2 linked regions of the Drosophila melanogaster genome follow. The protein of the gene in region 1 purifies or fractionates together with the protein of each later gene. This does not show direct contact. Each region holds a gene or a part of one and is shown in the gene's direction. Other genes may lie near its edges.

The links.
Region 2: the proteins of Lrpprc2 (region 1) and SLIRP2 purify together in Drosophila melanogaster (affinity purification with mass spectrometry, with the first as the bait; 2 studies listed by BioGRID). This does not show direct contact.

What each region holds. Positions count from the first base shown.
Region 1 is NC_004354.4:1,456,481-1,462,296, reverse strand, and holds Lrpprc2 (Leucine-rich pentatricopeptide repeat containing 2), read left to right. Parts: upstream 1-1,679; 5' UTR 1,680-1,738; coding exon 1,739-4,034; intron 4,035-4,095; coding exon 4,096-5,018; 3' UTR 5,019-5,122; downstream 5,123-5,816. Other genes in the region: Ns3 (nucleostemin 3), read left to right, coding at 1-203; CG14787 (uncharacterized protein), read left to right, coding at 652-1,434; CG14785 (uncharacterized protein), read left to right, coding at 5,351-5,816.
Region 2 is NT_033777.3:8,649,300-8,652,053, forward strand, and holds SLIRP2 (SRA stem-loop interacting RNA binding protein 2), read left to right. Parts: upstream 1-1,784; 5' UTR 1,785-1,817; coding exon 1,818-2,093; 3' UTR 2,094-2,194; downstream 2,195-2,754. Other genes in the region: Mkk4 (MAP kinase kinase 4), read right to left, coding at 1-120, 179-1,020, 1,182-1,212; Dhod (dihydroorotate dehydrogenase), read right to left, coding at 2,214-2,754.

The sequences.
Region 1 (5,816 bases):
CCAAGGAGCTAGACAACCAATTCTTCTCCGACAAGCCTACGCACGCCCACGTCAAAGGACGCACTAACTTCCCTAACGTGCGCCTGGCCAACGACGGGTCCCTAGTAGCCGGCAATGATCCGGCGGCCAAGCCCTGGCGTCATGTGAAGAAGGAGAGGCGCGAGAAGCTGCGCAAAAAGTTCTCGCACCTGGACGAGCACTGATTGTAGCCCATTAGTTATTTATTCCGAAGGGTGTGTCTAAGAGGCACTTGTACATTTTAAGCATTAAACCTACGTATATACATATATATTAAAGTCCCCCCGACTTCGAGAGTTTGAAGGCCCACAATCTCAGACTGAAAGAGTTATATTGCGCAACTAGCAGATTGAGAGAAACATAGATAAGCCATCTGATGGCCCAGCCTGGACACAACGATTAACACAAAGATAGCATATATTTAGCATACACACCAATGAAAGCAAACTGTTGTTGGAATGGCGCCCCCAATTGAGTTTAAGAGATGCGTGAATGGAAGGTAATTTCGAGATGCGGAGGAGCGCAGTTGCGCGGAGAAAAGAAGCCTGCACTTTGACCGCGTGATAAGCGCAGATGCTTACGGCTCTTGTCTTCTATCACTTGGCCACAGTCTCTATCACGCAGTCTTCAGCGATGGCCACAAACGAGAGCTGCAAGCACTTCAGGGAGCTGGTCGTCGAACAGCGTTCTGGGCTGCTCCACATACGCTTCCAGCGGCGCTGGCAACGCCGAACCCTCTACGAGCTGATGCGCGCCCTGGACCTGGCGAGTGCAGACGCCGCCGTTAAGGTGGTCGTGCTCTCGGGCGAGTTTTCTGCAGCATGTGGCGGTGAGATGGAACCGTTGGCTCTCAAACAGGGTCTGGAGAATAGGAGTAGGCGTACCGCTTCCCACGAAGAAGCTGTGGGCAGTGGTGATGCCGAGGAGCAGTACATCCATGAGAAGGCGGCCAATTTTGTGATGCGCTCGCTGGCCAAGAAGCTGCTTGTGCACCGCAAACTCCTAGTGGCTTTTGTGGAGAGGCAGTGCGTCGGTCTGGGCCTGAGCGTGTGCAGCCTGTGCGATCTGGTCTTCGCAACGGAGTTATCTGCCTTTGTGCCCGCTTTCTCGCACCTGGATCCCTGCACCAAGGTGGGTCCCGGCTGGACTGTGCCACACGTCCACTGGCTGCTTCGTCTGGGCGATCAAGCGAGCTCCAGCATTGCCCTCCAGTGTGGCCTTGTGGCCAGTGTGGTGCGAGAGCCGCAGGAGTTTTGGCACCGCGTCGACCAATACTTGCGCTTGCCTTCCGCCTCCCTGTTGGCGACAAAGCGCCTCCTGTTTCGTCCCTGGCAGGACTCCCTCTTGGCCGAATTGCGCGAGGAGGGCACTCCGCTGGCTGCGCAGCGACGCCGCTTGGCCAGATCCTCGCTGTAGGGTTGCGCTTCCAGATCCGTTGAATCGATTAAGTAAATAAATAGCGATTATAAAATAATGACATGTCCCCATGGTATTTCTTTTCATTCCTTTCATTGGAGCTCCATGACTTAACTTAAACTTTAAATCAAAATCTGCAACGGAAACGGGTATGCATATACAGATGGGCAGCACTGTTTTCGATATCTTTCGACTGGAAGGCACAGCTGATTGCCGGCGCGTGTTGTTTTTTTTTTGTTGCTCGCCGCAAAACTGCGAAAGTAAAATCTCGTAATTTTGGGGAAGATTAATTAACTTGGGCAAAATGCAGCGAGCACGACTGTTGCGGAACGTGTGGCTCTGCAGGCAGCGCTTGGGCCATCTGCCAGGACGCAGCGCTTCCTCCGCCAGCCTGGCATTCCGTTATGCAACGAAGCCTGCGGCGCCAGCGGTGCCGTTCTCGCTGCTCCAGATGCGATCCCTGGGAACGGGTGGCGTCCTCAGTGCGGTGGAGCGAAGAAGCCGGCGCCCCGCCTCCTCCTCTGAAAAACCGAAAGCCAGCGTGGCGGATGCGTGGACACAGCTGGAGGCGTACTACCGGCAGCACGATCTGATCAACTTTGAGCACTGCCAGCGCCTGCTGGAGCTCCTGCAGGAGTCTGCGTCGCCGCTAGGAGTCGGCATCGAAGAGGTGCACTTCCTTCTAGGGTCCTGTGTGCCCGAACTGCTTCCTGCTCAGAGCAGCCAGGAGCGTCTTCAGCTCTTCAAGGGACTCTGGGCTCAACTGATCAAGTTGGGCCAGCCCACGCTGGCACATTACCACACGAAGCTCCAGGTGCTGCGCCAGAACCGTTTGCCTCTGACTGACTATCGCTCGTTGCTGGCGGAGATTGCCGTCTACCATGGAGCAGCCGATTCCACCTTGTACGGCGCTCTTTTGGACGTGGCCGGCGCCGCCGGAAACATGCGCATGGCCACCGAGATTTTGTCGGAGATGCGCGAGCGCAGCCTCGCCCTCACGGAGCACAACTTTCACGCCCTGCTTTTGGGCCACGCCCGCAGCGGTGATCTGCCCGGGGCGGAGTCCGTCCTAGCCAGCATGCGGGCCGCAGGAATACAGCAAGGCAGCAGCACTCAGGCCATTTGGTTCGAGGCTCTGCTGGAAAACGGTCAGTTGGCACAGGCCAAGGAGCTGCTGCAGGTGGAGCACGGATTCACCGCCCCTCAGCTGCTCCAGATGCTGCGGGGTCTGCTCGCCAGCAAGGATGTCGACACGGATCTAATCCAACTGCTTGTCAAGGAACTGCCCCGCGAGTTTCTAACAGGTATCGACCTGCCGCCCGCCATCAGAAGCCTGTGCATTCAGCTGGTGCACCAAGGACGCACCGAAGTCGTCATACAGCTCGTAGGTGCGTTGCCCGCTCCGAAGTTCGAGTTGCAGAATCAGAACGTGGATGAGTACGGTGCACTTCTGCTGCAGGAGTTCTTCCGCGCCCAAGTTCCGTTGGACCAAACAATCCAGTTCGCCGGTCAACTAGTGCAGCGGAACCAGAACGTCCGCGCCCTGCATTTGGTGGCGGAGTTGGCCCTTCGCCGTCAGCCATCATCCGCGCTACGCTGCCTGGAGGATCTATCTGCAGCCGGCGAGGAACTTCGTCCGCATTACTTCTGGCCCCTGATCTTGCACCATTACCGGCGGGAGGGCGAAAGCGGCATGCTACGCCTGGTTTCTGAAATGCGGCGCCTGCGCGTTGAGTGCGACGAGGAAACGTTGCGGCACTACCTGTTTCCCCACCTGCGCCAAACCCTGGTGCAGCCCTTGGAGGCCGTGAAGGCACTTGAATCGGCGGGGGTCAAGCCTTCCCAGACCCTGTGCCCGGTTGTGAGCCACTTGCTGCAGCAGCATCAGATGTCCGAGGTGCTGGACTTGCTTGATCGGTATCCGACACGCTTGGACCTGGCCACGCTGCTCCAACCACTTTCTTCGCTGGCGGTCAATGCCCGTGCCACGAAGCGTTTCGAGGTATTTGCCAAAGTGATCCAAGCCCTGCAGCAGAAGGCACTCAAACGGGGAGAAGATTTTGTGGGCTCCTTGCTGCTGCAAATGACTGGACCTCAGACGCGTCTGCGCCAGGATGCCACCTCGTTGCGACGTTTTCTGCACGAACTGAGACGCCTAGAGCTACAAATCTCACCCGCTGCCTCCGAAGCTCTACTCTCCGTGGTCCGGCACGCCACTGATGACGTTGACCTCATCCAGGATCTGGCCAAAACGCTGCAGAAGATGAAAAACCCACAGCTCGCCCTGCCAGCTGACACGGTCTCGCTCCACGGAGGCTTCATCAAGCACCCGCGCGACATGAGCATAGACGAGCTCGAGTGCCACCTAGTCGAGCTGGAGTCCAAGCAGCTGAACCCGCGAGGCGTGTTGCGTCGCTTGCTGCAGCTCTCGGTGCGCAGTGGGCGCTTGGAGCGCGCACAGCAGCTGTTGGCCAAGTGCCAAGTTCTGAAGGTTCAGGAAAGCGCAGGCATGATGGCCTCCATATTCGACCTACACATCAAGCTGCGCGACTTGCCGCGCGCCCAGGAGAGCTTGGAGCGACTGAGCAGCATGTATCCAGGTACCTAACAACTTACTACTAGATGTGAACTGCATTAATCCGCATACCGTTCTCTCTTAAGCCTTTCAGATTGACGAGCACAAAGTGATCGACTATGCCGCCCTCCTGGTCCAAGGCCAGCAGCTGGAGGCCGCAAAGCAGCTGCTCCAGCGACGCGCGGAGCAGCATAAGGTTGTCGGTGGCGACTATGTGATGAAGAACGTATGGCAATTGCTGACCAACGTGGGCCAGCTGGCCGCCTCTTCACATGCAGGTGGCGAGAGCTCCAAACAACTTAACCAGACTCGCGAGTGGTTGGACTTCCTCAGGGGTCTGGGCTACTGTCAATCGCAAAATGCCCTACTGGGACCAGTGGTCCGCGAGTGGCTGTTGAAGGGCAACTTGGACGCTGCGGTGGCCGAGTTTCAGCGACTGGCTAACACTCACAAGCACACGCCTCTGCAGTTCGAGCTCTTGTCCCTGCTGGTGCGACTGGGCAACGGGGACGAGCAGGAGCTGACCCGTTTTCCCGGCGTCACGGCCGAGTCCGCGCAGCAGCACCTAGCGGTGGTTACTGCGACTGTGAGTCGCATCCACGGAGCGGCCAATATGAACAGCGCTCTGCTGCTCGCCCTGGCCGAATCCGGAAAGGAGACACAGCTGCGCCGGCTGATCATCAACCCAGAGTTCCGCATCAACCACGAGCTCCTCGTGAAGAATTGCGAGCACTTGGGACAGGAGGGCGCTGTGCGGACGCTCCTGCGGCTGGCGCGCGGAGTGAGGGGTGTCCAGCGGACCATAGACGAGCAGAAGATCTACGACCTCCTGTTGGCCCAGTTCTGCCGTAGCAACGACTACGAGGCGGCGTTGGATCTCTTTGAGCGCTTGGAGGCCGACGACGAGCTGAAGGTGTCGCATGAGTTCCTTCGCAACCTTGTGCAGCTGCTGCAGGTGAACCAGGTTGAAATTCCCAGTACAATCGCCCTGCGCGCCCACGTTAGATAGCCGGGCGACGAGATAGATAGATCGTCGCTCTTATCCTTAGTTATACACTTGGTATGTATGTACACACATAAATTAGTGCAGTAAATACGAGACGGTATACCTGCAAGTCTGAAAGATCTTTTATAGCTTCTGGGTGTCCTGGTGCCACGTCTAGTAGGCCTGGCTTTTGAAACCTATTGTCATCTGGAATCTGTGCTCCGAAACGGTCACAAAGTTTTCACTCGTAGCATACAACAGTCTCCTAACAGCTTCTCCGAAACCCACTCCCAATCTAAATTTTAGTTTTTATTCGCGTTCAATCTGTGCAAGTTGCAACCCCTCCCTATCCAACCATGAAGCGGCTGTCCCGACGTCCGGTCTCCGATGAGCAGAAGGCCCAGATGGGCAACCAGATTCATGAGCAGGGCGCAATAGAGGTATTCATGTCGGTGGCCACCGTCTCGCCGCTACTCCGAACGCGGGTCCTTCCGCAGCTAAAGGATCAACAGGATCAGCTGAAGGACAAAAAGCAGGACCGCAGGCCGAAACCGGAGCCAGAGAAACTCGAGAGCGGCGCTCAGGGCGACGCCGGTTCCGCTTCCTCGACGTCGGCCCACGCTGTAAAGCTCTTGCCAATCGAGGGAGATCCAGCCAAGCTGAAGGCGCTGACCAGCCGCCAGCAAATTGCCAGCCTGCTCAATCACCTCGGCGACGGCGCAGAGGGCGATGGCGAGGCCAAGCAGATCGTGATGGAGCTGCTCGGCAGCGGGGTGCAGCCGCACTCGGCCATCGAGCGCGTTTCCGAACAGCTGTTGCACG
Region 2 (2,754 bases), on another chromosome or scaffold:
AGAGTCCCATTTACGATAGGGGAAATTACCAGTCGCCACCTCCATTAATGTGATGCCCAATGACCAAACATCGCTTCGTACATCGTAGCCCTTGGCACGTTCTGGATCAATGCGCTCCGGCTGCACAAATGCATACAATTGCGGTAAAAATGTTGTGAAATCAAATGACAATCATTACCGCCATGTAGGGCCTGCAGCCCGCATCCTTGGTCTTGGCAATAGAGTCGACCAGCTGACCCGAAATACCAAAATCGCACAGCTTTATGTCTCCGCGACGGTGCAACAGAATGTTGCTCGGTTTCACATCCCGATGGATAATCTTTAGCTCCTCCTTCAAATAGTTCAGCGCATTGACCGTGGCCACTGTTATCTTAGCCAGTATAGACTCTGGAATGTGGCGCTGCTGCTTTTCGTAGATGTACTTGTAAAACTTGTCCAAAGAGGTGTCCATCAGCTCCATACAAATCCAGCAGTCACCCTCCTTGAAAAGCGCCCCATAGAACTGAACAATGTAAATGCACTCGTTGGACTTCATGACCACCTCGAGATCCATGAGCAGCTGCTTCTGTTCCTTCTCGTCTACGGTGGATCGAATGCGCTTGACGGCCATCACCTTGTCCAATTTCTTAAAGGTCATCTTGTTGACTGCCCCAAATGCACCGCGTCCAATTTCGCCCTCATCCTCGAGATCGTCTGAAGTAAATGTGTGTGTATTAGCGCCGCCCTCACCAAACTGTAGCTTGCCACAGGCCTGCTGGCGAATTCGCTCCCGGTGACGATCGGCAGCGCTGCTGCTCGATGCTGCCGGCACCGGTGGCACTTGACTGCTGGCCACCGGCGGGGTTTGCTGTGGCTGCTGGGCACCAAAACAGCGGGTCACATGGTTGTGCTGTGATGAGGAACTTGAGCCCGAGGAGGTGGATCCCGAAGAAGTGGACGACGTGGACGAGGGCGGATGGCGTATGCTAAGATTATTCAGGCTTAGCTGATCCGGGGGATTGCGGGAGCGACTGGATCCGGCTGGAATGTGTGGGAAATGGGAGAATTTAGGAGGCTTCATAGATGGCTTATCGCCGCTGCACCAGATTTCCAAACTATGCGTCACCCAGCGAGTATGTGGTCCTCTTCGGCTGCATGTGTATGACCTGCGTGGGCGGTTCGAGACCAAAGGGGTAACTCACTTGCAAACAAATTTTTCGGTCGTTCGGCCATTGTGTGTGGTGGCTGAAAGTATCGATGCGCCTTTGTGTGGCTGTCCTAAGGATGTTTTGTCCGTTTTCTGCAGGCGCCGCGCCCCGAATACAACACGTCGACTTGATGCTCCTTTGGCCCTCCGATCGCCTGGTTACTGGGCCGCCTTTGATGGGCTCTTCGCCGTTTGCAACGCAACTACTTTTTCAGCAATCGAGCGCACTGATATGCACTTTTTCCGCAATTTCGCTAAACATTTACATAAATAGCAACCAAAACTTAAAAGAGCTAGAGATGAAACATTGATTATTTGCGGCCAATCGATAGCCATCGATAGTATGCGCACTAGCTTGCGATAAGCAGTCCTGCAAGGTGCAAAAGTAGTGAGGTGGGTAATAAAACGAATATAAAAATGTCACCTATAAATAATTATTTCTTTAAAACCAAGAGATTTGAGTTTCTATTTTTCACAAATTAATCCCAGCTTTGTTAAAGTTTTTACTAGTTGAAAAGTTACATTTCGTCAATAAGTGACGTCGACGCCTACATAAACCAATCTGCGCCACCTTAAAATCAATGCACAATCACCAGTGATTTAAAACCAGAAAATTAAAACATACATAATCATGTCCAGCGGATTTGTTCGCAGCAGCTACAAATTGTTCGTCGGCAACCTGCCATGGACGATAGGTAGCAAGGAACTGCGGACCTACTTCTCAAAGTACGGGCACGTGGCCAACGCGGAGGTGGTCTTTGACCGGCAACTGGGCCTGTCCAAGCACTATGGCTTTGTGGTTTTCAGCCAACGGGATGCCTTCAACAGCGCCAGCAACCAGAACACCCATTTCCTCGATGGACGAGTGCTCACAGTCCAGCGGGCGAATGAAAGTCCTCAGAGTTAATCAATGAAGAATTTAATGATTTATTGGTTAGACCAAAGGAAAAGCATGAGAAATGTTTGTTAACAGCTTAGTTTTACACAAATGAATGCAGCACTTGCTTCAAATCGTGGCATCTTTGATTCATTTGGGCAAGTAGAACTTGCTGTTGGTGCCCACCACGTCCGCAACATTAGTGTGACCCAGCCGTGTGATCAGCGCCGACAGCTCCGCCTTAATGTCTTCCACAAGAGCGGGTCCCTCGTACACTAAAGCCGTGTAGATTTGGACGTAGGAAGCTCCAGCTTCGATCTTTTCGTATGCATCATAGCCGGAAGCCACTCCGCCGACGCCTATGATGGGAATCTTTCCATCGGTGAGCTGGTACATCTGGGCGATCATCTCTGTGGAGCGGGCCTTGAGTGGAGGACCACTTAATCCGCCAGTTTCCTCGGCCAGCTTGTTCTTTTCGATGTTTTCCCGCGACACCGTGGTGTTTGAAACGATCAGGCCATCCACGCGGCTCTTCTTGCGCTTGATTACCCACACGATGTCCTTCATGTCGTCCAAAGATAGATCCGGCGAAAGTTTCAAGAGTATAGGCACATTCTTGTTCTTATCCAGGGAGGATTTCGTGTCGTTGACCTGTTCCAGGAGCTCTCTTAGCTTCTCCTTGCTCTGCATA